Struthio camelus: one gene and its partners. The protein of the gene in region 2 purifies or fractionates together with the protein of the main gene of each other region. This does not show direct contact. Links are inferred from orthologs where the notes say so. Each region holds a gene or a part of one and is shown on either strand. Other genes may lie near its edges.

Region 1 (7,182 bases), on a different chromosome or scaffold from region 2:
CATTGTTAACTGGATACTTATAATAAAACGGATATCTTTTTTTCACAGAGACCAACAGTCTGGGAAGTCTGAAAAATAATCATGGCTAGAGCAAATATTACTATACTTGCTGGGAGCCAAACCATCAGTTCTTGGGTTTCTTTTTCATCCTGACTAACAGATTTCCATAGATTTCCACAGATATATGTGTGCAAATTAAATCTGGCTATTTCTGGTCCATCCAGCATACAAGTGTGTATATTTAATTGCATTATTTTACATAGAAAACATGAAGACAATTCAGGATTCAACTACTGAACAAATTATGTTGTTTGCGACATTGATTCCTTGATTTGTGCATCAAAAGTAAGCTATTTATCTCTAGGTCAAATGCAGCTGGCAATTATTTCTACAGCTAAAATTCTTCAGAAAATCGGTAATATTTTGCAAGGTGAAGAGATAAGAGTATGTACTAAAAAGATGTATGGTTCTGGCTTAAAGCTAAGCTACATAGTATTAATATAAGTTGAAGCTTTAGTTTTACTCATGTTCAGCTATGTGCAATGGCTTTTTTCACTATATAAAAAAAGCTCAGTATACCACAGGGCATCTTTTAAAAAAAACTTGCATTGTGCATAAAAATAAAATAATGGGACCAACAGCCACCTTGAGGGTAAATATGCTGCATCTTTTTCTGTTTTGATTTAAGCAGCGAAGAACGAACAAAACATGCACACAAAGGGGGTAAGGTTATTAGTATCTATGGTTCAATTGTGCTAACTGAAAAAGCAAAAAAAAAAAAAATCTTATGGCAGTGTATAAAATGCCTCTTTCTTGCTGGATGGGAAGCAGAAAGAGGAAAATCCTTCTTGTCAGTTAACTACTTGAGGAAGTACCTCAGAAGGAACTGCCTGTCCCATGCAGCTAGCCTAACCTTTCCAAGTGCGTGTTATTTGTACAGCAGGGCTGCAACTATGTAACTGACAACTAAGGAATCTATATAATGGGTGTTTTTACAGAAAATTCATGAACCATGAACTGAAAATGCATTTTATTTACTGACACCGGAGTTCATGCCCCTCATATACTTTGTCAACTACTCTATCCTTATTTTAATTTCTACTTTCTCGGGCTCAGGTGGTGGGACTACATTGCTATACAGATCAGCGAGGATGAACAGGATGCACAGTTTCCCCCCTCAGAAAGAGCCTGTAAGTTGAATTTGACTGAAGATCTGAATATTGGTCTTTCGGTGCTACATGGTAAGACTGAAAATCCAAAGCTCATGCAGAAGCACATTGCAATTGCTCTCTGAAAAATGGCAGCCCTCAGCTACTACCAAGCAACTGTTAATCTGGGGATATCAAATCAATTTTGGGTGGTGGAAATTTGGCTGCTTCTCAAATGGTGCTTAACTAAAATATAAATTCGAAACTGTAAATTACACAACTTCAAGTGTTTGTGCAAACAGAAACATTGTCAGAAGGCACTGTCAAAAATTAATCAAATCTCTACTGCAGAAGGAAGTTCAGAACCTGAATCTCTGTGGAGTAATTCCCATAACAGAATTGCTCCTGATTCGCAGTAATGGAAGATTCAGAGGTGCTGCTGTAGATCTCCTTGCCTGGCTTAAATACAAGTTCCGCATGTTTTCTACTGTTAGCACATGGCATTAACTCTTGAAACATGCTCCAAATTTTCAGCTGATGAAGAGTGAAGCCGTCCACCTCCTACACAGGTTTGGCAGCTATAAGCACATAAGATTGGTACTTAGCTCTCTGAACTGGTTTATGATATGCTTCTGCATGAAGGGTGTTAATTATAATCCAAATCAAGAATTGTCTCTTTATGAGTAAAAATATTTAAAGGAAATTATAAATAAGGGCAGTGTATCAGTATTGTTCTTTGTTCCTTTTCTCATAATCTTTGATGCTTCACTTGTTCATATGACTATTATTGAACATTAATCTGATGCTTTCATAGAAGTAGCTAACATAATTTCCAGATCTCTTTCCCAAGCTAATGCAGTTCTATGGGTTATGTAGGTAAAGTTATTGTCATTTCTTTTTCCTCTTGTGCATTATTGCACTTGATCCATCATCTCCTCTATTTCTCTCTCTAGTTGATGCAATTCTTTATTCTTCATTTTGTAAATGTTGTGTTTATCATGAACAGGAGTTGCATTTAAACTATATAATTACCAAATGCATCAGGTAACTAATAACAAACTCTAAATCACTCTGCAAAATTCAGTGACTGAACTTACTTAGTCAACGTTTTTTAAAATAAAAAAAATGGAATGTTATTCTCGGTTGGCATGTACTCCAAAGGGAAACATGCTCAAGTTTTATTTGACTAACAGTTCAAGCTAGTTCCAGAGACAGAAGATTGTACTGACAACTCCTCTAAGAGCTATAAGGAAGAGATGAGGAAAAGCAGCTGACCTGATCGCAAGGTGTCAGGATAATATGCAAGTGATGAGTATTTGAAGTACTAAAGACCTTTTACAAAGGGCTTTGCAGATTAAAGTCACTACACTGAATAGATGTGGGAAGCTCTGAAATGGTAGAAGTCTGTAGCCTTGTTCACACGGGCAGCTCAGGTTTATTCCTTCCATGTTGAAAGTACTCTTCGGTAAGCTGGGTGCCTTGTTCCTGTTTAGCTTAGTGTACTTTGCAAGTGGGCTAAACCAAATAGGAACAGGGCACTTTTATAGCAGAAGCATGCCAGCGCATACAACACACAGCTATCCTTAAGTAACTCCAGACGTTGACAAAACTTTAGTACAAAATTTCATACGTGAGAAATTTTGTACCAGGATTCTGCAGTATACGGACCTTCTGCCCCTCTTCAAGGCTAAGTCCATGTAAAGAGCAATACAGGAAATCGCTCCTGAAGGAAAAAAAAATCCTGGGCAGGCATGAGCTTATTTCTGCACTGTTAGTTTGTGACATAACTGAAGTCTGTGGCCTTTACCCTATCTTGTTTTGCACAGCACACATTTCTAACTGAAGCAATGCTTAAACAGTGAGCAATGCTGCCTTACAGGGATGTGTTGAAGTCCAAAAGGTAGCGAGGGAGCTGTGAACACAGCGAGGACCGTGTGATTCTGCGGAGCTGAAGCGCTGCTGCACAGCATGAACGCTGTCTCTCACAGGAGGCTGATCGTCCCTCACACAACGCTAATCTGAGGGAGGGCGGTTACGTGCCACCAAGTTAACTTATGTCAACCTAAGTGAATTCTCTTCACCACTGAAGATGTTTTTATTGCTAAAATCTGTTGTAATCCCAAAATAACCGATGAGCCCGCGTAATCCCACATAAAAATACAAAGAAGGATAAAGACGTTAAGTTTCACCGCCAGCAAAACTTGCTACGGCTGCACTCTTGACAGGTGTCACAGAGCTGCTGCTGGGGAGCCACAATCTGCCTGAGGAGGCTGAAGCACCTGAGATCATCTCTGAGAACAAGGAAATTTCGTCCCAGTGAGGAGCAGCCGGGAATATACTTCGAACGTACTACGGGAGTAGGGGAGTGCACGGTGCGTCTTACGCCTTCTCGGTGTCAGGCCGTTTCCAGAGGGAAAATTTCCGGCCGATCGTTTCGGGAATAAAACACCCGAGGTGTCAGCCTGGATAAGGCGTGAGAGTTACCTGGCCGAGGGGACGAGCTCGGGTCCTGCGTGCCACCTCCGGCTCTCGGGCTGGAGCCCTGCGGCGGGAGGCGAGCGCAAGCTGCGCGGTTTAACGGCCCCAACGGTCGGCGCGCGCGGCCACAGCGCCGCGCAGCGCCCACCCGCCTCTAGTGACGCACTCTACCCCGCCGCCCGAGCCGGGGGACGGCGGGTCCCCTCTCCCGGCTCGGCGGGATCGGCGCCGCTACCGTCCCAGCCCGCCTCAACCGCCCTCCCCTCACAGCAGCAGCAGCAGTAGCAGTAGCAGCAGCAGCAGCAGCGCCGCCGCCGCCGCCGCCGCCGCCCGCCTCAGGCTGCGCGCGCACCGCGCCTCCCCCCCCACCCCCCCTCCCGCCCGTTCCGAGCTCTCGCGTTGGCTGTCGGGATCGCTGGCCGCTTTGGTTAATGTCCGCCATGTTTGCCATGGCGCAGGGAGCGGATCGAGCGAGCCCGGCGCGGATCTAGGGCTGCGGGGCGTGCGCTGTGAGCTACGGGCGGCCCCGCGGAGAGCTGTTCCGGGGCGGCGGGACCCTCCATGGTGTTGCGGGCCGGGTGCGGGAGCGGCTGGGAGGCGGCGGCGCGGCCGCAGTGAGGGGCCCCCCCGCCCGCCCGGCCCCGGGGTGTTATTGTGAGGGGGAGACAATGAGCAAACTCTCCTTCCGAGCCCGGGCGCTAGACGCCGCCAAACCGCTGCCCATCTACCGCGGCAAGGACATGCCCGACCTCAACGACTGCGTCTCCATCAACCGGGCTGTGCCGCAGATGCCCACGGGCATGGAGAAAGAGGAGGAATCGGTAAGGGAGCCGCGCAGGGGGGGCACCATTGTTTATCAGACACCCCCCCTCCCCTCACGGGAAATAGGCCATTGGCATTCACCAAGCGCACTACGCACGCTCCCCGCCGCGGCGCTGCACGGCTCTTATGGGGCCCTGCGCAAAGAGCGCAGCGTAAACTGCTGTCCGACGCCGTAAGCGGGCCCTGCTCCGCCATCTTCTTTGCGTCCCGACTCGCGAGTGTTTTGATTAGTGGGGGGGGGGAGGCGGGGGGGGGCAGGCCTTTACGTTAGCGTAAGAAGGAGGAAGGCGCAAGAGGCGTCTCTGAATGAGCGGGCGAGCGTTGGGGCCGCCGCTGGCGTAGCGCGCCTTGGCTGCCGCCGCTCGCCTTGTGCGCGCGGCGGGAGCGGGCCGGGCCGGGCAGGGGGGGCCCCGCGAGGGGAGCGCGGCCGCGGCGGTGCGGCTGCTGCTGCTGCCGCCGCGGCCCCCGGGCGGAGCGCCGAGGGACGGGACGGGGCGCCGGGACAGGGCAGCGGCGTGCCGAGCCGGCAGGCCGCCCGCCGCGTTAAAGCACGCTGGTTGTGGCAGATGCGCTGCTAATAAATTCTTGGTAGTTTTTGGGAGAAAGCTTTTATAAGAACGCTTTTTGTTCGTACTTGGGCGGGGGAAGCGTTTCGTGCTGCAGAGTGTACGCCAGCTGTCAGGCACGGCAGCTGGATGTGTTGCATTAAGCATTATGCTTTTAAGCATTTAGATTTTTGGTTTTTTTTTTTAACTAAGCAAGTTTTAAAAATACGTACGCGATACTTGTTCTCCTTTCCCTAGTACGATAGAGAGAAAGAAGTTTTGTCCCCTTAAGGCAAAGATAAGTTTCTCGGGGTTTTCAAAGCATTGGTGCAGCACTTTGGAAGTGTATGCCCACAGCTCTGTTGCTTGTGTGTGCTGTTTTGTGTTACTGATGCTTAAACATCGACTCCTATGCTCCTTCGAGTTGTGTCTAGCTTAGACTTAGGTTGTTGCCCTCATGTGTCTGCACTTGCATGTTGAGCTGATAGTAAAGGCACCCTCAAGAGTTTCTTCAATGAATCCCTGTCTCCGCCTCAGCCAAACCTCTGTGCGTGTGGATTGGCTTTTCAGAGGTTACAGCTGTCAGAGGAAGCTTCGTGCCTTTCCGATTGGCTTTCTCACTTGACTATTGATATTAGAAGTCGTCCTTCTCTCTCTTACCGTTGGTTTCTTCTGCTGCTTACTTCACCGTATTGCAGTCTGTAATGCACTGTGATCAAAACTTCCAAAGAGTAAATCTGCCCCAGACTCTGAGAGCGTATTTGAAATGAGCAGCGATGTGATACTAATGCAGCAATCTTGGAGGGTAATATGGTTTTCTTAGATTTCAATAAAGTCTGCCTTGTAGTCCTCTGTTTGCATTTGATGTTTATTAAGTGTGGCTTATTTTAAAAAATGTTTTCTTGCTAACTCATATTTTAAATTTGTTAGTGGAAAAATTTCTCTAAGAGTTCAAGCAAGGTGCTTGTGGGCTGCTTAAATGACTGTGAAGAGGATTAGATTTATACTTTAATAAAACTGCTCTAGTGTTATACTAAAATGTTTCTTTCTGTATGTTTTTTTCCTGCACTGAAATGTGGCTGTACTTGATATATTATGCCATAATCTCAGAATGACATGGTCATTGATGCAGTATACAAGCTTAATGCTAAATACATCAGCCAAACAATATTATTAACAGATTGTTTATATTATTGCCATGTAATGACAGTTTCACTTAGGGTATAGGCCTTTCCCTGGGTTGCACAAATAATTTTTTGATGTAGATTTTTGTGTTAGTAGCACGTAAAGCACCTCTGGGAAAGGCTGCTGTTGTAGATGACAGTAGTTAAATATTCGAGGGCTTCACTTTAAACAGCTTTTATCATAGTAAGCGTTACTCAGATGTGATTTGGTCTATTTTGAGAGGGACTTTTGGAGGAGGGGTATATACGCATACTCCTTTCTGACATCTCAGTTACTTAGGTGTCTCAGGACCTTTTTAAACTCAGACTTCTGCCAGGGATACATCCTGTGAAAGGTGGCTGAACCATTAGGATAGCTCATGATTTGAACTTGCTGTACACAGACACAAAGCTCATGTTACTGTGGCCCCAGTATACTTCCATCCTTGGTGTGCTGCTATATCTGTAAAGCCTCAGTGAAAACAGAAGGATCTTGCAGTACAGTGGATCATGGGGTTAAGTGTTGTCTTCCAGATCTGATTTTTAACTGGAAATAATTATATATATTTACAGATTTCTCAAGTTTTAAAATAGCTAAGGTTGCTCTGTTTGTCTTGCCTGCTGTTCTTTACAACCTAGTCTTGCTGGTACAGGCATATGAACTGCTTTGTTCGTGATTAATATTTTATATATACAGAAATGCAGATTTTAGTCCATTTGTTTTTAGTGTGATTTATTTTTGGTGATAAAGTTTTTATTTAAGTAGTAGTATTGTGTTTGGAACGTGGATAGGGTTAAAGTTCAGGGAATTCTAATCATTGTCACCTGCTTCTTGTATTAATACTAAGGTTATTTGTATTAAAATGTCATAAATCACTGCTTTTGCAGAAGCACAATATAAGCCACCAGCCAGCCCATTCCAGAAAACAGTCCTGCTCAATGTGAGCATGAGTGTCTTTATCTGGCTTTTCTTTTGATTTGATCTTGATGAATATTCTGGAGTTATTTCCCATTTCAGTATCTTAG
Region 2 (8,307 bases):
CCAGATAAGTCCCAGAAAATAGAACGGTAGATCCGTAAGGTACATCCAAAATGTACATCTACCCTGTACTTTGCAGATAAAGAAGAATGAACTCTGTCCATACTCCAAGCCGACTGGACACTGGAAGACAATGGACAATGGTAAATGTAATGTTGAGCTTCACCTAACAAGCACAGCTGAAAAGCTACATAAAACATGAGCATGGCAAGCCCATATCTGCTCACAGAAAGCATCCTCTAGACATGGCTGAAGATGAGATTCTTGGGAGCAGAAGGCCAGCTGGTGAGACTCAACCAACCAGCTGCTTGCTCTGAGACCGTAACCAGGTGATTCAATGTCCCTGACTTTCAGTTCTCTGTCTCTAAAGCGGAGACAATTCTTACCTGAGAACTTATGCTGTAAGACTGCCTTCCTCCTAATGGGGATCTGTATAAAGCGTGCTAACACAGGGCTTACCACTTGGTCAGAGTTAGTAGGTGTTGCAGCTGGGCAAGAGCAGCACTCAACCCAGGTCAGCTTACTGATGGGAATCAGATAGTTGTCACACCCCATGTCCAGGCATGGCTTTGCTGCCTGAGCAGATGCCTGCGCCCATCGCTTGGCCATATACCCTAGTATATCATAATCCTGGCCTGTCTATTGGATTGAGTGTAATTGTACTGCAGTGACAGGTCAGTTACAGAAAACAGTTTAGTATGAATGTAGTGTTTTGTAATCAAAAGCATCAGAAAACGTTAATACTGAAAACCTTAATACTAATAAAGCAGTGTACAAGTACTGAAGCAAATGCAGCAAAACACTCTTCATCACTGGCCTGTCAGAGATAACAAAAAGGTACTCCAGCAGGCCTCACTATTGAGACTACTGGGCATGAATACTACTACATCAAGCCTCTTCCTTCCCTTTCTACACCCATTGCATCACCAGATTCCCCATAACCTTACCTATTGGAGGGATTTTTCACCCCATTAAAGGGACCTATCAATGTTAATTGGACCAATAAAGGCTAATTTCTCAGTTGTGCCCCCTTGAAGCATATTCCCCTCTCTCCCCAATGAGGCAATTACTTTATAAAAGCTGGGCAAGATAGTCAGGTTGGCAGTTTTGGGGGTATTGAGAAGGAGCCTGGTTGTGTCAGGAGGATGGAGGTGGTAAGTGTTCCCTTTGCATACAGGGGATTGAAATAGGAGTTATCTGTGTTTATAAGTGGCTCTGAAGTTGCTTTTGGACTAATCCTAGAGTACTTGCATTAGTTTTACTTTATCTCTTTAAATAGTGTGGGGGGGGAGGGATTGCTGGTTATGTTGAGAAGCTTGTTAGCTAGTTTAGGGTGATTAGAGACTACTTTCATATACGATCCTATCTAACATATGTCTCACCTGATCTATTCAGTATCTATACATCCTTGTATTAGCTTAAGTAGCTACCTACCCTGATCTTTGATGCATGCTAAGAGGGGTTATGCTTGCTTTAAACACATCAGTGCAAAGCACCATCTTCAGTTTTATGCTGTCTTGCCCTTGTAGTGCAAGCTGGAACTGTAAGAGGCCTTAAGTGGCTAAAAGCATGCAGCTGAAGCAAACTGTCAGGGAGACTTGTGTGGGAAGCCAGGAATGTCTGTGGTAGGGATTATTTCCATCTGGTAGGAGTCCTCTTTGTTCTGTTTCCTAGGACTTCTGTGGACAGAAACCAGCAAGAAAATTAATTTTTTCCTACTGCATCCAGTATACTATTACCAGAGGGTCTTATGGCCTGGAAATGGGCTTCTGTTTCCTTTAAGGAAGAGGGTGAATTGATCCTTGCTAGGCACTTCAGACAGAACCCATTTTTTTAAACAGTAGGTTGAATGAAATCCTAACTTCTGCAGGCTTCTGTAAAAATCTTGATTTTTTTTTTTTAACATTAAAAAAAAAAAAAACCCTTAACTTGGAGTTTGTTGAAGGAAAATATAAATAACTAATGCTTCAAATAGATAGAGGCACCAGACAGCAATATAAAAACAAAACGCCAAATTCCTGAATGTAGGAGTGTCTGCTCTTAATGTGATCCTGCCTTTGTGCTTGTGCCTAGCTAGATAGAATTAGGTCTCTACCCTGAAGTGGGACTAGCTAGCATAAAATGGCTGAACTGAAACTTGGAGGTAAAGGGTAGTGATGATATGATCTGGGACTGTTTGAAGACTCGGGCAGAGTCCATTCTGCCAGTGCACTGAACACATGGCTCTGAAGAAAGAGCAGCTAAATGACAATGCTCCCTGGGACTCGGACTCCTGCTCGTAGGTAGCTGGTTAGCAACTAAAGACACCTAAACTATTAGCTCTTCTGTCTGTTTTGCTGATGTAAAATTGCTCAAGCTCATAAAGTGGTTGTAAGTGTCAACTTGATTTGAGACTCTTATTGCCATGGCTGACATTCAATAATAGGTACCCTGGTAATGAAGTTTAAATCTTTACTATTTTAGTATATAGCAGAAAAGACTTTGAGGACGAGCTCTAGGCATCAGCAGTTAGACATGTATCTTAGAACTCTGTATCTTTGGCTTGTTATAGATAGGAAGAAAGAAAAGTTGTGGAGAAGAATAGCCTTACATAAAGTTCATGTCAACAGCTCCATCTCCTGTTAAACTTCAGTCTGTAAGAGTACTGCTCTTGCTTGGACTCTTTGATATTGAGGTTTAAGGAAAGACATATTCACATCTGAAAGGGTAATTTGGTGATTTTTATTAGTAAAGTGTATGACAGACTGAGGTAGTCTTAGCTCTAAACAGCTATTCATTCACTGAAGTACCAGGACTTCTGCCTGAGCATGTTTGATGCTCCCAGGTGAATTAGACATCATCTAAAACTAAGATCTATCATGTTTTGGAATTGCACCATGAATAGTTAGCTTTTTAGAGCTGAAAGAGAAATTAACAGACAAAACCTACAAATCATTTCTGAGGTTAAATGGCCAGTCTGCTGCTTTTTTTCTGCAGCAGAAATAACTATACTGCACTGGAAATGGCACCTGCCAAAAAAATGGGGCTAAGGCTTCATTTCAGGGCAATATTGGCAGGGTTTTGAAGTGCCCAAGCAAAGGACATCTGCACTGCATTAATTTAAAGTTATACTTGGAAAGAACTGAATTCAGAATGAATGGTTTAACTACAGTTTGAAATATTCAGTAAGATGAATGGGTCTGAAGCAGGGTTGCCCTTGGTAATCATGTGGCTCTTACATAAGACTGAGGTAAAAATAAAAACTAGTGCGTGTGTGCACAGTTGTTTGACATGCTGGCACTTCCCCTCCCCCAGTGTCACAAGCAGTTGATGTGACTTCATCTCTGCTGAAACCACATTGGTTGGCCTCATGTGTTTGCCAATATAGCAATAGCACCTCATCCCAAGTCTGAGATGTAACCTCATTCCGTCTGCTTCTAAACTGCTTTGTACACTAAGTCAATTAACTTCATTGAAGTGTTTCAGCTGGCAACATGATAAATTAAAGTGTGAAGCACATCATGTTCAGGCTCTCAGTCGAAGAACTGACTGAGAATGATTATCAAATAGTATCTTTGTATAGCATAAAGACCCCCTTATTTGTAGGCTGCTCTGTAATAGCACAATCTCTTCCATCACCTTAAATTATACATTGTGAGAGTGAGTATACTTTCAAGTAGCTTCATGTGACTTATATTCTCTCTGAAGGACCTCAACAGACTATGCTTCTTGCAGAAGCTGCCCGGCACCATGCATTTGCCATATAGCTGTAACAGAACTATGGTTGTCTTTGACTGATGTTTAGTACTTCCTTTATAGGGTCTTGTCAGACTTCCTGCTCTTGGGTGTCCAATGGGACATGGCAATAATTATTTATAAGTTTAGGCACTACAGTAATATCAACTAGATGAGTTCTGGCAAACACTTCTCATGCAGGTAACCCCACCAAGTCCTTAAACCTCATCTGCTTTCTACTATGAATGCCACATTTCCTAACCTCCTCTGATCCCTGTCATCTCCTGCAGCTGCAATAATGGTGATGGCAGCTGGAATAGGAGAAGCGCTCTGTGTGCTGCTAAGGGTTGCACACAATTGGCTTGCCTTTGCTGCCAAAAGCAGCAGGTGAGATAGGAAACACTGTTGCATGAGGGAAGTGTGGGGGGGAGGTTAACAATTTGATTTATTCCTGTTCAGAAGTCTGGGGAGGCCTTCAGGACTTGATTTCATGTCTTGATTTTTTTTTTTTTTTTTTTTTTGGGGGGGGGGGCAGGTGGGAGCCAGGTGCTGCTGTATTTGGGGTGGGGAAGGCTTGTTGTGCGCACACACGAGCATGCGGATTATGCAAGGCTGCAGCTCTGACTTCCTGATAGAGAAGGAAGGTGTCTGCAGTCTGAGGTGACAACTGAGTGGGTGCCATTCAGATGGCAATTTTACATCAGAGCACACTTCACATATCTTGTTAATCTGACTTGAGCTCCTGAGAGCTTGAAACCTAATAACAGCGACTGGTTAAGCAATGCTTTTACGGCTATGACTCTCCCACCTAGCAGCACGCAAGATGCTGAAAAGGCTTTTCAGAATCTCGCTGGCTAATACACAGCTCATTACCTGACAGGCGCTCAGCTTCTCTTTTAAATAGCTGCATAAAGCCATCAAGCACAGCTCTGCCGGGGCGTGCCGCCGAGCTCCCTCGGGGAAGGCGTCTTAACCGCGCCGAGTAACTGGAAAACGGGGGCGGGGGTGGGGGGGGGCACGACACGCACGGTTCAAAGCCGGGCGGCCGTTACCCGGCTGCAGCGGCGGTTGGGGCCGAGGCCCGCGGTTTCCCCGCGCGGGCGGCTCGGAACCCCCTCCCCCAGCGGAGGGCCGCGCCCCCCCCACCCCCCGCGGCGCAGGCACCGCCGGCCGCCCCGAGCGGGCGGGGCCCCGGCACAGCCCGGCATGGCGGAACAGGCCCCCCCCCTGCCGCGGCGCGAGCCGTAGGCTCCTGCTCCTTTAAATGTGGGCGGGCCCTCTGCGGAACGGCGCCGCTCGCCAGCGCCCCCCTCAGCTCTGTCGTAGCGAGGTCGGCGCGGCCCCCCCCGCCCCTCCCATTGGTTGTCGCCGTGCGAAGGCGCCCCGCCCCAGCCTGCGGCGATTGGCTGGCGGCGAGGCTGGGGTTCCCGGATGCAGGCGCGCTCGGCGGTTATAAAGCGCCGGGGGAAGGCGGGAGCGGGCGCAGTTTGAATCGCGGCGCGTCGGGGCAGGTCAGCGTTGTCGCCTGGGCTCGGTGCGTGCGGGACGCTCTTCTCCTCTGTGTCCCCGTGCGTGGCGCTACGGTCCCGTTCACGATGGTGAGGAGCCGCGCAGGGGAGGGGGGGGCGCGGGGCCGCGCCGCCTCGGCGATGGCAGAGAGCGAGGCGATCCGGTGGCGGCAGTTGGGAGGAGGTGGGAGCACGCGCGGGGGAAGGGAGCGAGTGAGCGCGCGCAAGCAGCGGCAGGCGCTTTACCTGCCGGTAGGCGGGGGAGGGGCGCGCGGAGGGTCGCACGCGCACTGGTGCCGCCGGGGAGAGGGAGTGGCTGCGGCGCATGCGCCCGGCGAGCGGCCTGTGCCGCTAGGTGTAGCGGGCAGAGCGCACGCGCCTTGGCGTAGCGCGTGCCGCCCTGCGGGAGGGAAGGGCCGGGAGCGCATGCGCGGGTAGGATGCCGCCGCTGCGCGGTCCCTGACTGAGACCTTGGCTGCGGTCCCTGACAGGTAGGGGAGGAGAGGCGGGGGATGTAGCATTGCCGCGGACGTATCTGTTCTTACACGTATCTCTTCTTTGTTAGGCTGGTGGTAAAGCTGGGAAGGACTCTGGAAAGACCAAGACCAAAGCGGTGTCCCGTTCTCAGAGGGCTGGCTTGCAGGTGAGCAGAGACTGGGGCATGGGCAGATGGAAGTCAGGTTGGCTTTATGCTTGCAGGTGGTACCTTTTGAAATCTGGACAGGCTGTGCCTTCTGTCCATTATTTGGAATGGTGTAAAGATCTGTTTGATCCTCAAATATGTCAGTGTTTGGCTCAAGCATGCTCTGGACTTGCTGTACATCTGTGCTGGGGAAGAGAATTGCCTTGCGGTTGCTACTGCTAGTGGTTTGTGAAGTGAAGTTGCTGATGTCGTCTGGGGAATCCAGCTAAGGACACTGTATACTAGGTGTTGAAATGTAGTCTTCTGTGCTACACAGCATCTCTGGCACTAGAATTCAACTAGCACCAGTTGCATATGCTAGACAACAGAATCCCTGCAGCCAGAGTATTTCAGAATAGTGTTTTTCTTCTGTTTCTATGGTGACAGCCTACTCCTACTTCTCTTATCTTTCAGTTCCCTGTTGGCCGCATCCACAGGCATCTGAAGTCAAGGACCACCAGCCATGGGCGTGTAGGAGCTACAGCTGCTGTGTATAGCGCGGCAATCCTGGAGTACTTGACAGCTGAGGTAAAGCTGCTGCAAGGGGTACAAGCAAGTTGGTCAGTCCAGCTGAAATGGTGTAATGACTGGAGTCTCCTGTATTTTGCCAGTTCAGACTGGGTTATGAACTCTTCATTTGCTTTAAGCCTGTTTTGTGAAGTACATGCTTCTTGAGGAGACCATAAAGCATGTATGGAAATTTTTGCTCTGGATTTTATGCAGAGCAAGTAGCTGTGGCTTATGTTGAAGACACAAATGGTGAAGTACTTCATAAAATGTGCAGTTACAGCATGTTCTGTCTGCTGCAAAACATCATTCTTTCCTTGGGGGAAACTAAATCCAAAGCTCTAAAAGAGGAGCTGGCTAAAAAAGACGCATTGTTTGATATCTTTTTGTCGGTAACTATACAGTTGTTGTAAAGAAGGAAATTGCTAAAGCAATGCAATTGGTCTCGTGTGACTTGCTTAACTCAATCTGAAAATGTTCTTGTCTTCAGGTTCTTGAGCTGGCAGGAAACGCATCCAAAGACTTGAAGGTGAAACGTATCACTCCCCGTCACTTGCAGCTTGCAATTAGAGGAGATGAAGAATTGGACTCTCTCATTAAGGCAACAATTGCTGGTGGTGGTATGTAACTTGCTTTCTAACTTTGTGTTAAGTGACAAGGAGTCCAGTAGTCTCAAAGGTTGTTTAATCTATTTGAAGTGTAAAGTTTAGCCAAATCTGATAACATGGAATAACTTGATCTTAATTCTTGGTATTGTTCTCTCTTAGGTGTAATACCACATATCCACAAGTCTCTCATTGGAAAGAAAGGACAACAGAAAACTGTCTAAAGGATACCAGGATTCTGTGTTATCTCAGGACTCTAAGTACTTAATTGTCCAGTGTTGGTGATTCCAGTGGACTGTATCTGTGAAACACAATTTTGCCTTTTTGTAACTTTGAGAAGCTAAAGCTCACCGAGCTTTCTAACAAACCAAATTTCTGCATTGAAGTCTTAACCGTATTTAAGTGTTACCATGGCTTCAAAGAAGCTATTGTATTTGTAGTGGGTTTTGATTGAGCTGACTGTTTTTAGATCGGTTTGATTAAGTAAAGGAAATGTTTGGTTTTGTACAGACTTTTCATCCACTAGAGTGGAAATATTCAATAAATGTTATATCAATACTAATTGTCTCATGTGCTACTGGAAAACACTTGGTCTCAATAATGGAGCCCTGAAGAAGAGTAGTTCCAAGAACACACAGTTGTGACAGTTCTCCAAGCTGCGAAGTACTGCAGGTGTCCATTTTCAAATGGAAACATAGTCCTAGAATTCTGCACTTAGTAGATACAGCCATCTCTGAGTGACATGGTGTGCATGCTTCACCTCATGAGGTTGAAACAGATTCTTAATAATTGAGCCTGATGCATAGAATGACCTTTTAGAAAGGTATATCTGAGGGCTCTGCTATTTCGGGACAGTGTTACTTGCTAGTAACCTTCCAGCTATCGTGGATGAAGAAGAATGGGAGCTTTTTGACTGGAGGCTGAAAATATAAACTTCTGCCTGCATATTTCTATAGCTTTTCTTCTAGTGAAGGGCAATGGACAAGTCTGTAAAAGCAATGAGAAATGTACTGCAGTAGTTTCCACTGGCTCATAATATACTTTGTGGAGGAGTCTAAAACACTTCCAAGGTAGCAGTCTGCTGGGGGTGGGGGGGTTGTGTGTAGGTGTCTGGTTTTTTTGTTGTTAAGCTTGGCTGGCTGCTCCGTCAACAAGGCCAAGTGTGAATGCTGGTTCTATGAAATGCTAATAGAAGACCTGTTGTCAAAGTAACTATCTTAGCTCACTGACCTGAATCTGGAGTTAAAACTACTTGCTTTCTGTTATTCTCAAGCGCTAGGGTGATTGGGTGAGA
Region 3 (7,301 bases), on a different chromosome or scaffold from region 2:
CAAATACGATCATGCTGTAACCTTTACATGGTACTCAGTCTCAAGACAATTTAGTAATTTAACTAATGTCCTCCATAGCCATGGGTGTATAGTACAGCTGGAATGACAGTTATTTCCTGCACAGTGAGAATGAGGCTGTGGAAGAAGAAGGGGCAGAATACGGGAGATGGTGAGGTCCACAGCTGCTGAGAGGGACAGTTGGACTGCAAGAGAGGAAGGTCTGGAAAGAATGGAAAGGTAACAGCAGCAGAAAGAGAGTAGGCAACAAACAGATGAGGAAATATTATAATAAAGTAGTTGAAAGCCTGTAAGGAGACCAAGGGCCTGATGCTAACACTGGTATTCAGACAAAACTCTGTAAACTGCTAGGAATGTTGCTATCGGCAGCAAATGCTCGCTGCAGCACACCGTGGTGAATGGATTTCCGCCAGATAGGACTGCTGTACTGCAAACGGGGCAGTGCCAAAGAAAAGCAAAATTCTCGCATCCAGTATTTTAAGAGCTGCCTAGGCTGGTACTTGTACACAGGCTCTGTTGCACCATTACTTAGTGCTGGCTGGCTGTCACTGTCTCTTAAAGCTCTTTAGCGAGCACAGTCTAGACCTCAGTAACAAAGAGCTTTTGCTTCACATTGTATGTTAGCAGTCTTTGTGTGCAAAGGGGACAGACTCCCATATGAGAAATTCAAAGCGCACAAACCTACCAGCAGTAGCTGAGACCTAGGATCATCAGTCTAGGGATGGGCTAGATAGGTCTTTCCTGATTTTTTCAAATCAAAGTATTAGTAAACAGTCCTTGAAAAAACAAGCAAAACACAAGGACTATAGGTTTAAAAACACTGGATTAGGTAAGAGTTAAAAATCAAAGTACCAAAGAAACTACGCAACAGTGACACTCCCGAATAGGTATAGAAAGCCCCTGAAAAACATATAGCTTGCAAGACAGACAGAATGGATAGGAGAAGGACAGTGAATGGAAAGAACAACTGATTGAGGAGGAACGGGAAGTTGGACAGAAGGAAGTCAGAGACTTGGCACACAAGCCTGCAAGTGGGAAGTGACAGAACAGAATTATGGAAAAAAAGACATCACAGAGATCTGGAATGGGAAAGGACAGATGAGAGGGAAAAGACAGAAGAGTCTGAGCCTCATCTAAGAAATGTACATCAGAACATAAATCCATGTTTTTTAATCTTTTTTTCTTTCCTGACAGCTGAAAACTAATGAAACCTATGCAAGCGATTAGCTTTAGGTAGATCACAGAGCAACTGCAATATTCCTTTATGCCATCATTCTGCCACAAGTGATGAGACATGATTTATGTGAAGCATTTGCAGGACAAAGGCCATCAACATTAATAATGTTACAGTTTATACCAGCAGGAGGAAACAGCAACTCCTATGGCTTCCATTCTTTCCTCTATGCTAAGCATGTCTACTGCTATATGGAAGGTTTTTTTGAACAATGTTGATTGCAATTCACAAATTGAATTTCTTTTTAGCTTGAATTCACAGCTAGTGTTTACTTCTTTTTTAAATGCATTTGCATCCCAATAAACACTGTCATTAATCCCTCTTTCCCTGATCAGGAGCTGCTCTAAATAGGTTGTTCCAATTAGGCTGTTCTGAAAGTCAGGTCTTTACATTTATACACAATAGGAAGCTTTTCACTGTAAAAATATTGTTCCTTTTGTACGGCCTTTAAGGCTAATCACTTCTTAAAGTGGCAATTTAAACTCTGTTCTGTCAGTCTGCCATGATGAGCAGTAGTTACTCACACAATCCCACTGAATTTGGTTGGCTATACACTTGAGTATACAGTGTGAATTAACACCGGCAGAAATGGACTATGTGACAATTTCTCCAATTGTACAAAAAAGAGACTACAGATAGATAAAGGAGTTCATATTTGCTTTTCAATACTGAACAAAGCTAAATTCTATTTTCACTCATACTCTACATTATCCCCTCCCATCCCCTGCTGTAAAGCACTACAATGCATGATTTTTAAAGAAGCTTCCTAATTTTACAAAAGTTGCTGACACATTCCACTAAAACACAAAGGGGGCCACTCCTGCCTTGGAGATAGCAGGGTCCAGCCCCACCAGAATCTTGTCTTTGTCATTCTGTTGGCGTGCCTGAGTCCCATTTTCCCTTGCCACTCATGCGGACGGTGCAAACGCTAGCATTAAAAGGAGTGACTGAGACCCAGCCTCAAGCAACGTGTTTCTTAGTTTGCTTCATTTGGGTACCACAGTACACAGGAAATATTTGAAAACACCCTATCACACTAGCTCTTGGTGAGCATTCTGCTGACTCTCCCCAAGCCCACAAACTCAGGCACGCAGCAAACTCAGGCATGAAAGAGAGAGTTATTATGCAGCAAATTCAGCACAGGAGACGGTTACAAGTCCCAGCATCCTGGCTGTCCTGTGATTTCGGTCATGGGGCACCATGGTGAGACTTTACCATATAACTGTGCTTCAGTTGTAGTTCTAATGGTGGAGTTGTTTTGTACAATATTTTTGTACAATATTGTTCTCTTAAATATCTGTTGGATATGTATGTATACATACATATCCATTTTGTCTACTATAAAATTTTGTTTTCAGTCTTTAGGGAACATTAAAGCCATCACTGAAAACGAAAAAAGTGACCCCCATCAATTCAGATTTCCCTAAATTCACCATCCTTTTCTCCTAATGAAAATAGGATATGATTACTTTAGCTGTGCATTTGAATACGCTAAGTTATCTTGCCACATCGAACCCTTTCACTTTAATAGAAGTGTAGCGATTCATTTCCCAGGAAGGATCAGAGCGTTTGTCTTCCACATAACAACAGGGGCACAAGCAATTTCTCACACAGAACTTCAAAAACATTGTCATTCCTATACCAGCATGTTAAAATTTGTACTTTAAAGAGTGCAGATGCTTTCAACTATTGCTCCTGACTGATACTTACTGGGCTTAACTGCATCTAAAAATTGTTCAGCGGTATTTATGACATTAGTCAATACTTCTGTATCAGCAGTGCAGAACAAACAGCTAATTGATGGAATGAAAATGGAAAGCGACCACTTAGGTATAACACTTTTCCAAGAAGTTCATAGTTATTGTTATACTTTTTTTTTTTTCATTTACAATAAGGTAGGAATATAAAAGAATGCTTGGCTATATATTATGTTTTTGAGACAGAACTAAAATGAAAATCTTCATAAAAGCCACACACAGAATTTAAGCTCCAGCTTCCAAAATTAAATCATTTTTAGCTAATTACTCACAACATATGTACTTAAAACATGAGAAAAGAATGCAATTTTCCCTTCATCCTGACACTCAAAAACATCCTGCACTGTTTTTTTCTCACACTTGGCTAAGCCATATACTTCCTTTCCTTGCTTGGATGCATATGGCGCAGATGACCAAACGAAAAGATAACAAACATGGCAGAAAACTTGTCTTTTCTGGTATGGCAATTCTTACGCTGCCTCTATCTACATCCGGTATCACCCACTCCCTGAAAAGTCCTCCCCACCATCAAAAACCATATTACACCGTAGGAACATCTGGACAAAAACAATCACTGTCTTCTACGCATTAGCGCATGACTAGACCAGGAAATACAATTAATGATAAAACAGCGATGAAATAAAGGTATTCCGGGGATTGAAACTGCGGAAAAACTTCAGCTCAAAACATTTAACAAGTAAATTACAATAAGAAGCCTTGTAACTTACTCATTTCTATCTATTTGCTAATTATTTTTTCTACACTAAAGAGCAATTCCAAAGCCCACAGATATCCCATTATACCTGTAACTTTTATTACTATCTATACTACTCTTTTTCTGGCGAAAAGACAGCGCACGGACTCTAACATTAAACTCCAGGACCTGGGGCTGTAAGAAACCCCCAGTGACAACGCAGGGCACAAGGGTCGGGAGGCAGCGGAGCGGCCCGCGGTAGCTACGCGGCGCCCCGCAGCCGCCACCCCGCCCGCCCAGCTCCCCCCACCGCGCCAGCAGAAACGGGAGGGCGGGAAGGAGCGGCCGCCGCAGTGCATCATGGCACACGTAGTTTCCCGGCCCTTCCCCGGGCAGAAACTACATTTCCCGTGATGCCGTCGGCGGCGCGCGAGGCACGGCGTGCGTCAGAGGCGCGGGCAGCCAATTGCGGCGCGGCCGAGCCGAGCCCCGTCAGCCGCCAATGTTGTTTTCGCTGAGTCGAGCTGCTGGTGTTGTTGGCGGCGGCGCCATATTGGAAGGGACGAGCCCCCGTTAGCGAGAAGCCCCTTGGCGCTCGCCCGGCCGCCGCCATGCTGTATCTGGAGGACTATCTGGAGAGTGAGTGTGTACGGGACGGGGATGCCGGGCGGCGGGGCATAGCTAGCGGAGGGGGGCCGCGGGGAGGGGGGAGCCGCGGCGACGAGGCGGTTCCCCCCCTCCCCCACGGCGGTGACTGACTTCCTCCCTCCTCCCCGTCTCCCTCCCCCCCGCCCCTCCGTGTGCCCGCAGTGATCGAGCAGCTTCCCATGGATCTGCGCGACAGGTTCACCGAGATGCGCGAGATGGACCTGCAGGTGCAGAGTACGTGAGTCCCGCCCCCTCCTCCTCTGCCCGCCCCCTCCCCTCCCGCGCTTCCCCTCGCCTCTCCTCCTCCTCCTCCCCGCGCCCGCCTGCGCCGCTCGGCCCGGCCCGGCCCGGCCCGCCGGCGGGGGGCGGCCGCGGGCACCGGCTCGCTCGCGCCGGGGGCAGGAGAAGAGGGGGCGAAACAGCGCCGCGGCAGGCGCTGCGGCCTGCCTGGGCAGCCCCGTTCCCCGCCGCCGCCCCGCGCGGTGGCCCGCGGGTGGCTCGCCCCCCTCCCCTCCCCTCCCCTCCCGACGCCCTGTCTCTCCGGCAGCGCCGCAGGCCGGTCCGGTGCGGGGGGCCGCGCCACGCGGCCGGCTGCGTCTCGTCGCCCCTTCCGGGGGGCCGGCAGCCAGCGCCGCGCCGGGCTCCTGGCGTCTTCTCCTACGGGAGAGCGATGGCGCGGCGCTGTCGGAGCGGGCGCGGCTGCGGCTGCGGGAGGCGGCGCTGCGGAGCCCCGGCGCCGCGCGGGGAGCCGCCGGGACGCAGCGAGGGGCGGAGCGCGCGCGCCTGGCGCTATGTCAGCGAGCGGGGCCGAGCCGCGGCCCCGCCGAGCCGCCCGGCCGCTCACAGCGCCGTCTCCGCGCAGCTAGGATTTGACAGGAGCTTCGCTCCTGGGCTTGTGCCGCTCCTTAAGGCGTTTTCGGTGGCATGTCCCAAACTCTTTAGACTTTTGATTCCTAAGAGCAGTGGTGGTGGGTTGGAGCATGAGTTTTATCCCGCTCTTCCAGCAGGTCGCTGTGCGCTGTTTCTGAAACCTTCCAGCCATCTCCCCTCATGATTGTACATGTGAAAATGTTTTCTGCCTAGTCTCTTGTGCCTTAGCTGGCACTTACCAAATATACGTCCACTTTACGTTTCTCTGTTGATCTTTTTGTATATCTTGTGTTTATATCCTGATTTCAGATGCTGCCTAATTTTGTTTTCAGGATTCCTTGCCTTTTGGTCTCATCTATGACTTATGTCAGGATGCTAAAGGATTCTTTGGCTCTAGTTAGGTGTTGCTGTCATTTAACACACAATTAATATGGTCATGACCATAATGCAAAGCTCTTTGTTGACGAAATTGTTCTTTGTGACAAAAGTTGCGAGGATTCATCAATACAGAAGGACTGGGCAATCATAAGGAAGAATGAGAGAGAGAAAGAACAAGGATTGAAGTAACAAGTTGGTGCAGTGCAGTAGTATGAAATGCAGCACCATGCTTACAATATTTTGCTGTCTAGGAGTGCAATAGGTCAAACAATAGTTTGACCTATAATCCTTTCAAGTGAGGTCTCAAGCTTGATCTGAGGTATTTACTTTAATGATTCCAGCTGGTCTGTTTGACAGACTTTATTAATGTGTGTTGAACTGGCTATAAGTTTTTCTGTATACTGTGGTGTAAGTGCTATCCTGGCTTCAATGCCAAAGCCAAAGGACGTGAACAGTGGCTCAGGAGCTGAGCAGTAGGAGATAACATTTATGAAGTAAGTGTCACTAGGGAGCACCAGGAGAGGGAAGGAAGCAGCTCGTGGGCTTAGGTAGTTCCAAATAAGATCACAAATTTGCCTTCTATTGAGTATGGAAACAAAGCTAGTACTTAAAGTGTATTTCAGGACGAGCCGACTAGTGTTGCCAAGGCTGCAGTACTGTCGTTTCCTCTGCCATAACTGGAAATGGCAAATGACACTAAGTATTTTATACTAAGTTCAACCTTAGGCCCAGATTGAAAAAAACAAATCTCTTTTGGACCGTAGTACTTCAATAATTCTTGCACAATGAGTGACAAAACATCCCAAGACATTACAAAACTCCAGAACTCTCATCTCTTCCATGTCAATTGCCAGACAGCCAGCTGAATGTTCCGTATCAACCAGATTATTCTGATGCTGTGAAATAGTGACTTTCTGTGTAGCTTCAGTGTCTCTGACGGCCTTGAAAACAGCATTTATGCAAGGGATGCTGTCTCAGAAAACTACAAGAGTCATAAAGCGATAACTGCACTACTGTCAGAGTTGATACTGACTTTATAGTCTGTCCTTTGTGGGGAACATGGACTTCTAAAGGGACAGGTGTTGCTTCTTGTCATTGGAATAAGTATAGGCAAACCAACTGTATCTATTTTACGTCTTGATAATACCTGTGGGAAAGGGAAGAACATCCAAGTTGTGACTTTGACTGTTGATGTCCAACTAAGACAGTTTACATGTGGAGCTTAAAATGTCTTTATCTATTTCAGTTCAAGTCATGGATTATCAGGCCTCCGTGATAAAATGTCAAGCTCTGGGAAAAAAGTTCTCTATTCTAGTAGAATTTCTGGCAACTCCCTTGCGAAATCTGTTCTAAGAAATTATTATGTCAGAATGTAGTGTCACAGTAGGCTTAGAAGGGGGCAGAGGGAGAAACAGAAAAACTGAAGGAACTTACATATACCAGAGAGAACCTTTGGATAATTGAATAGGTTCTCTCCTGTGTTTCCCCCTTAACAGTCCTAACCTTTCAAGAGAGTCCAAATTTCTTTGAAAGTTTTCACATATGCAATTTCACACAGAGTGAAAGGTGTCCTCAGTAAAAAGTAAAGAGGGAAATTTTTTTTTCGTGTCTGGGAAGCCATAATAATCTTGCTGTTCCTCACCTAGCTGTTTTCACTCTTGGAAGAGAAGATGGAGCGTTTTATCCTTGAGGTTTAGAGACC
Region 4 (7,213 bases), on a different chromosome or scaffold from region 2:
CCAGAAACTGGAATGAAAGAGCAATATCCTCCCCTAGTCCCAGAACAACACCCTTACGTAGTTAGCTCGGAAACTGGCAGCGTCAAGTGGATAATGTTAGGGTGAAGTACCTGTCTTAAATCTCACTTTAAAACCCGTCATACTCACTAATTCACATCCAGTTCTATCCCTGGCTAGAGAGGCATGGAGATTAATTTTGTAGCCAACAGACTTCAAATACCGTAACTTCCAACAAACAGTTAAGAAGTGAAAAATATTTCTTCACTTACAGAAGTAAAAAATGAAAACTAATAAAGTTTACACTTAATGGAAATGGAAGTAGGTGACAGAGAAAAGTTAAAATGGACACTATGGAAACACAAGATGAAAGGAGTCCATCTAAGAGCTAGCAGAATGATCGGCAACAGTAACTTCTGCACTCTTCCAAAAAAATCAAAAATAAAAAAACCACCACCACTATATTAGCCATTCCTCTTGCTCCCTCGTAGTTCCATACAAACGAAACTGTGCTTAAGCATAAGTCAATTCATCCTCTTTATACGTAGGGTCACGTTACAGAACCAAGCAAGTTCCAAGAGAAGAAAAATACTCTATCTTGAACATTATCAAAAGAAATACTGAACAAGTTCTTCCCTACTGATGGCAAGGGCAAAGAGAACCAGCTCAGCTTTCAGATTTCAGCGAGATCACTAGATAAAGCCATTATAGCTACTCTTTTAGTCAGATATCAAATTAGGCTGGCGTGCCATCTTTGAAGCAAACATATACTGAAACTCCAAAAGGACATTTTAGACAGTCACTTAAGCTCTGCCCACCCTGACATATGGACGCAGATCACAGATGTCTACTTATTTGCTCACACAAGCTAAACAAGAATTTCGCCTTTTAATTCTCTTTATCATACAGTTACACTAGCTCAAATTGCATTCCTCTGTGTTAACCTGAACTAAATCAAACAATTCACTGGACAGGAAATTCCATTAATAGCACAGGAACAACTGAAATTGGTACAACCTTGCACAAACAGCACTGGAATGCAGCAACCTGTTGGACGTAACTTTGCGCAAAGCTGACAGAAAAATATTTGAAGACATTAAACAGCACTGGAATGGGTATTTTTGTGTCAGCATCTCAGACTAACAGAGATCACTTCAAATGAAGTTTATAAAACAGAGTGTGTTACAGCAGGGCATTGTTCTCACAAGCACATTTTCAAAGCAGTATAACTAAGAAACTAGATACAGAGAATTACAGTGATTCAGAGACCTTAAACTTACATTACAAAATAACAAGTTCTCTGTAATTTCAAAATAGACACATAGTAACTCAGTACTCAATAAAAGTACAATTCCCATGAACACATAGTTAGTTTAACTTCATTGCTGCTGATCTAAACTTGATGGTCTATTACGATGCAAAAGAGGTCACTGGAACTGTCTTCACTTCTAATGTCAGATTCCACATTGGACAACTGCCCCCTCACTTCTGTGCTATGAAACTATGCAGAAAAATCTGCGAAGGCCTATCTAGTCTTCTACTTCATGAGGACCAAATATATATTTGAATTAAATAAAAGAAAGTTCCAAATACATAGGTTTCAGATAGTTAGCCAAAATGGAAGAAAAAAAAAATCTATCACATCACCTTTATTTAAACATTTATCGAGAAAAGATTAGAGATCTCCAAGCCCAGAAGTCATAATTCTTCAATAATCTTGCTAATTCCAAACAAGACAGAAACATAATAAAAAATGAAGATTTCCATACATAAATATAATCCTAACATTGGTGACTTACAAGATAAATCATAAGACACAATATTAAGCTTTACACATAACATCAGAAATCAAGCTGACATACATTAGGCAAAAGAAGGACTATCGTTCAGGAAGCAATTTTTTTTTTAAGTTTACCTCAAAATTCTCACTGACTTCTTGCATCATTTTCAATTTGGTTTCATCGGCTGAAAACGGAAATTGAAGCAAAAGAAATTAAATGTAAAACTACATCGTAGAAGGGACACCAGCTCCACCGATCAAAGAAGCAATCAGATCTTATCAGTCCAGCTATCACCGCCCAGGTAGAAGGCACACGATTCTCACAAACATCCCTCTGTCATACAACGGCACACGCACACAGCTCTCTCGCTTCGGCTCATGCAAATATTACTCATCACTTTGCTTCTTCAAAAATCAAAACTCAAACCAAATCCAAAGCGAATCCAGCACGCCTTTATCCCCGCTAGTCTAGCCAACGCCGCCCCTGTCTGTGAAGCAAACGACGGAAACACGGCAACCCGCAGCACAAAAGGAAAAAAAAAGAAAAGAGGGAAAAAAGCGCATCTTACGTGTGTTGACATCTGTGAGAGCGGCCACGAACTGCAGGTATTTTTTCATCAGAGTGGTTTGGTCCACCACGGTGGGCCCTTGCGCGGTGACGAACGCCATGCCGGGGGCGGCGGGGCCGGCTGCTTTCAGCGCTCACAGCCGACACCAGCACACCTGCAAGAAACACAAAACACCTCTTCAAGTTCATGCGACCGGCAAACAGCAGCTGACGCGCTGCCCCCGCAGCCGCGGCTCGGGTTTGTTAGACGGGGACGCATCTCCTCCGACATGGCAGCTGTCACGCTTAGTTTGGCTGATCCGTAAGGGCTGGCGCTCGGGGCGGCGGAAAGGCGCCCCAGGCCCCAGCGGACCCCCGGCGCGGCCCGCACCTGCCGCCGCCATCGCGCCCGCCCCAGAACGGCCTTAACGCCGCCGCCGGCCCCCTCCTTCCTCCTCCTCCTCCTCCTCCTGCTGCCGCCGCTGCCCGCGGCGCGCCGGTTCCGCCCGCGGACCAGGCCGGGCCTCACCTCACCTCAGCGCCGGCCCGGGCCTAGGCCGCGCCGAGGCGCCGCCACCGCCGCCGCCGCTCCTCACCCCGCGCCCGGCCGGCCCCGGCCCCGGCCCCGGGCCCCCTCCTTTGTTGCTCCCGGCGCGGAGGCCGGCGGAGGCGCATGGGCGCAACGGAAGCGCCCGAGCCCAGTTCCGGCCGCCGCCACCGCCGCCGCCACCGCCCCCCGGCCCGGGGCGGGGCCGCGGTCCCCGCGCCTCCCCCGGCCCCGCGCGGGCGGCTTCGCCCGGCACCGGCCCCGCCGCCGCCCTCCCTCCCTCCCTCCCTCCGGCGGGCGAGGGGTCACCGGGGCGGCGCGGGGAGCCGCGGAGGGCAGCGGCGGAGCCCCGCAGCCGCGGGCGGTACCTCAGCTGCGCCGCGGAAACCCGCCGCCTTGTCGGCCGGGAGCGGGACTGCCCCCTCGCCGCGGGGCAGGGTTTGGGCTGGTTTGAGGTGTTTTTGAGGGGGGAAAAAAAAAAAAAAAAAAAAAAAGCCTTGGCGGCTTGCGCGGAGCCCGTCACGTTGGCGGCGGGCCTCGGGGCGGGGATGGGGGCTGTCCCCGCCAGGGCCGGGCCGGGCGCCGCAGGCTGGAAGCGGCCGGCGGCGCGGACGGAGGTGGCGCAGCGGCGGCGGTGCCTGCCCATGGCCGCCGCCGGCATCCTGCGGCTGAGCTGCCTGGCCCTGCTGCTCCGCCGCCCCGGCTCGGCCGCAGGTAAGGCGGAGCGGGCGGACCCCCCACCCCCCCCGGCGGCGGCGGCGGCAGGTGCCCGGTGCCGCGCCTGCCTCCTGCGCCTCCCGGCCCCCTCCAAAAGGCTCCTGCTGCCCGCGCAGCCCCCGGCTGTGCTGCGGCAAGGGGCTGGGGAGCCGCAGGACCGCCGAGGGCTGGACGAGCCCTCGCTGACTCACGGCCCGACCTTGCGTTAGCTGCCTGCTGTCCAGCCGCGGCAGCCGCGGGGCTCCAGCCTGGCCCCGGCTGGCCTGGAGTGCCTTGACCGCCTCTGGGGAGAAGCTGCTGGGTTAGCCCAAGGCCGCTGGCCGTTTGTCCGAGCTTTGTTCAAACAAAGCGGAGGGTAGCCTGAGTCTTCTGGAGACCTGAAAGCTCCCTGTGTCAGACTTCATTCAATCACCCGCGCTTCTCTGTTGGCTCAAAATTTGTGAACCCGGGGCCTTTCTCATGTTACGAAGTGGGAACGGTGAAGTTCTCACTCAGAAAGCAATGCTGCGGTTATTTTTCCTCCATCCTTTTGCATCCAATGTTGCTTAGCACCTGGGATCTGTGGAGTGAAATTAGGGGCCTAATGAGATGTTTGAGGTCTCTTTTCTTACCACCCCGGCTCGGAGGGGGACGCGAAAGGCATGCAGGGGCTAGCTGACCCCAGCGCTCCCTCCGGCCCGAGCGCTGCATTAGAGGCCCCAGGTGGGCGAGAAGTGCAACTTCTGCAGTTCAGAGGTTCTGCCGAGTCCCCGGCGTGATGAGCCCCAGCAGTGCAGCGCTCTGCTCAGCGTTGCTTTGTTGGGCTCCTGCGAGGTGATAACTAGCCAGACACTGCTGGGAGGAGGATGGGTACGCCGCGGGGGAGGCAAAAAACAGTCTGTTCCCAGCTCTCCCAGTTCCCAGCCCTCCATGGTTGTTGCATTTGGTTTTGTTGTTCCAACATGTGCAAGTCATTTAATGTCGCACTGCCATTTCTTAACCCACAAAATAAGTGCAGCAGTGCTTTCCCAGCACTGAAACCTGGGGATGTAACCCCCGGTTAAAACTGAATTTAGTATCCTTTCCGTAAAACCAAACCTTGCCCAGCTCTGCCCGATGTAGTAGTTGTAAGAGCGTAAGTAAGTAGCTTGTGTAAATGCAGCAGGGAAGAGAAGGGGGAGCAAGGCAGAGCAGCAGGGCTGTTTTTCAAGGTCACGAGTTTGGCACCCCCTTGCACCTCGCTGTTCCAGTTGTGAAAGCCATGAAGTAAGAACCCTTTTTTTTTTGCCCTTGAGGGCTGAACTGATCAAACACTAGGATGTTGGTAGCAGCTACAGCTTCAAATGCACAAGTTTCATTTATACTGAAATCTTTGGCCCTTTCCTAGAAAGGGACGTTAACAGTAGACCATAGATAAGTAGCTGGTACTGAGTTTCCATACTTGGGCAGAAGGTGGAGGGTACCAGGGTACCTGTGTGTCAGCAGAGCTGATAAAGGAAACTACTGCATGAAATCCTGCTTGGGCCTGAAAGTTCATTTTTAGTCCAAGGCTTTGCCCAGTGAGAGATTTCTTTAAGCAAGTTGGTAATTTGTCCTTTCTGTAACTGCAGAGAATTTTGCAGTGTCCTCACCTTTGACTTCCTCACTACAGCCCTGGTCTTAAAAAGAAAAAAAAAAAGTGGAAGTGCACCAACTGCTTTTATTTTGTTGTGTTTAAGTTATTTTCATGTTTAATGCAATTTTCAGAATGGACGCTTAATGCCAAACAGTAGAAACAGGTATAAGGCGCCGAAATATTTTTGAAAACTCTAGTGAGCATGCACCTACATCTGCAGATGCCTGCACACTGAAAGTTAGCCTATTTCAGCAAGGTTGGCCTGGCCTGCCTTTTCCTTTGCAAAGGATCTTCCTCTGCCATACAAATCCTTTTCAGCACGTGACTTTTCCATTCTGTTTTGAGTGAGAATTGAAACAACACGGATTAGATTTGAACCTGAAGCTTTTCAAGTGGATGGAAGTTTAGTGAGTATGGTGTTAGATTGCTAATGAACATAATGTTAGATTATAGCCCAGCTCTAGCTATAAAGCCTCCTCAAAGTTTTTTGGATGTTCAAATTAACATTTTTTGTTTAGGCTACCCCTTACTATTAACATTTCTAGGACCAATTCCTAGATGTTCTTTAATGCTACCTGTTTGAATTCAAATATATATGTGCGTAACAGTTTCAGTTCTAGCCTTTTACATGGTAAAAAAGGTGGCAAAGTCTTAGCTGGCATTAGTATCATCGTGAATCACGTAACTACAGCTGACCAGTGAGAATGTGAAGAAATAAAAATTGCAAAACAAAGAGATTTTTCTTCTGATTTTTGCAGAGGAGTATGATCTGGAAATAACCAACAACGGTCCCATCACAACAGGAGCTCAAGCTACTGTTCGTGCCAGTCTAAGTATGAAGAATGACAGAATGGCCTCACACTTTTATCATTTTAACTGGATTTATGCTCCTCTGATTCTCATTGAGAAATCAGAGCAGCGGTTTCACTCCCTGATTAATGTGACTGGTGAATTTCCTGGGACTTTTCCTGTATCTGTCTGGGTGACTCACAAAAACTGTTGGTTGTGTCGGCCTGTTGCTAGAAATGTCACCGTACTTCACATCACAGGTAAAATGGCTTTACAACTTCTACAGCTTCTTTACGACTTCTTGAATTCTTCAGGAATTCAAGCTACATCACAGTGGCTGCACTACCTTTGCTAGTATCAGAACGAGCAAAGGCCATCTCGGACAGGCCGTGTGCTAACCAGGCCACGTTGTCTCCCTGCGTCCGGGAAGCAAGCGTGGTGCTGCCCGTGTTTTCCTGCCTCTCTCGCTTAGGGGAACCAAGCTAGAAACCAGACGCTCCAGTAGCTGTAGGTCACGCATCAGTGCTGTTTGGTGATACCCAGTGCTGCCTGTGTAGCTGCTCAGCGTTTCGAGTCCCATTGTTAGGGCAACCGGAAGGAGCCACAATTGACTAGTTTTCCCTTTTGCATGACATAGAAAAACTTAGGCCATCAGCATGACAGAGCTGTTACACTTTCTTTCAAAGTTCAGGATGATCATCCTGAAACGAGAGGTGGAGTCATGGCTGCCTTTCCAAATTGCATCTTACTGTCATATTCATAGCCATAAACAGGCACTTTTGGACAAACTGGCACATGGGGCAGTGTGGTTAGCCTAAGCTCTGAGGCAGGGATCAACGTGAAGCATCCTTTGACAGCGTTCCGTGATCCCTTCCTCCAAAGACAGGCAAGCGCGTCCCTCCAGCCATGTGTCCCAGCTGCTCTCCTTGTGCGCTCCAAAACAGACCGACCCCACGTTCTGCAGCGGCAGAGGAGCAGCATGAGGACATCAATGATGACAAAAGAGCCTACCTGACATTTTGAGGAATAGCTATTACAATTTTTCTTTGAGAAACGCCAAGGGAAAGCCTTTATAAAAATATACATAAGATCTTTTCTCTCTTAAAAATTGCTGCCTTGCTGAATAGCTGCTTATTCCTTTTTCTCTTTGCACTGACTTAAAGTCTCATGTCACTAGAAAAAGGGATAGACATTTTTTATAGCTATGGTAAGCTAAGGTAAGATCTTGTTGTATCCTTCTGC

What was found.
Region 1: the proteins of H2AZ1 (region 2) and EPC2 purify together in Homo sapiens (affinity purification with mass spectrometry; 3 studies listed by BioGRID and IntAct, with this or other methods). This does not show direct contact. The link is inferred for Struthio camelus from reciprocal best matches to the Homo sapiens genes H2AZ1 and EPC2.
Region 3: the proteins of H2AZ1 (region 2) and ING3 purify together in Homo sapiens (affinity purification with mass spectrometry; 5 studies listed by BioGRID and IntAct, with this or other methods). This does not show direct contact. The link is inferred for Struthio camelus from reciprocal best matches to the Homo sapiens genes H2AZ1 and ING3.
Region 4: the proteins of H2AZ1 (region 2) and TRRAP purify together in Homo sapiens (affinity purification with mass spectrometry; 3 studies listed by BioGRID and IntAct, with this or other methods). This does not show direct contact. The link is inferred for Struthio camelus from reciprocal best matches to the Homo sapiens genes H2AZ1 and TRRAP.

What each region holds. Positions count from the first base shown.
Region 1 is NC_090947.1:43,603,405-43,610,586, forward strand, and holds the start of EPC2 (enhancer of polycomb homolog 2), read left to right. Parts: upstream 1-4,034; 5' UTR 4,035-4,294; coding exon 4,295-4,447; intron 4,448-7,182. UniProt on the Homo sapiens protein: May play a role in transcription or DNA repair.
Region 2 is NC_090945.1:27,838,141-27,846,447, forward strand, and holds H2AZ1 (histone H2A.Z), read left to right. Parts: upstream 1-5,005; 5' UTR 5,006-5,306; coding exon 5,307-5,309; intron 5,310-5,465; coding exon of another isoform or gene 5,466-5,546; exon of another isoform or gene 5,547-5,770; intron 5,771-5,784; coding exon 5,785-5,862; intron 5,863-6,315; coding exon 6,316-6,429; intron 6,430-6,898; coding exon 6,899-7,028; intron 7,029-7,175; coding exon 7,176-7,237; 3' UTR 7,238-7,575; downstream 7,576-8,307. UniProt on the Homo sapiens protein: Variant histone H2A which replaces conventional H2A in a subset of nucleosomes. Nucleosomes wrap and compact DNA into chromatin, limiting DNA accessibility to the cellular machineries which require DNA as a template.
Region 3 is NC_090942.1:26,308,744-26,316,044, reverse strand, and holds the start of ING3 (inhibitor of growth protein 3), read left to right. Parts: upstream 1-4,118; 5' UTR 4,119-4,314; coding exon 4,315-4,342; intron 4,343-4,513; coding exon 4,514-4,585; intron 4,586-7,301. UniProt on the Homo sapiens protein: Component of the NuA4 histone acetyltransferase (HAT) complex which is involved in transcriptional activation of select genes principally by acetylation of nucleosomal histones H4 and H2A.
Region 4 is NC_090956.1:8,614,293-8,621,505, forward strand, and holds the start of TRRAP (transformation/transcription domain-associated protein), read right to left. Parts: upstream 3,309-7,213; 5' UTR 3,240-3,308; intron 3,050-3,239; exon of another isoform or gene 2,854-3,049; intron 2,501-2,853; 5' UTR 2,447-2,500; coding exon 2,347-2,446; intron 1,963-2,346; coding exon 1,913-1,962; intron 1-1,912. Other genes in the region: TMEM130 (transmembrane protein 130), read left to right, coding at 3,420-3,585, 5,941-6,231. UniProt on the Homo sapiens protein: Adapter protein, which is found in various multiprotein chromatin complexes with histone acetyltransferase activity (HAT), which gives a specific tag for epigenetic transcription activation.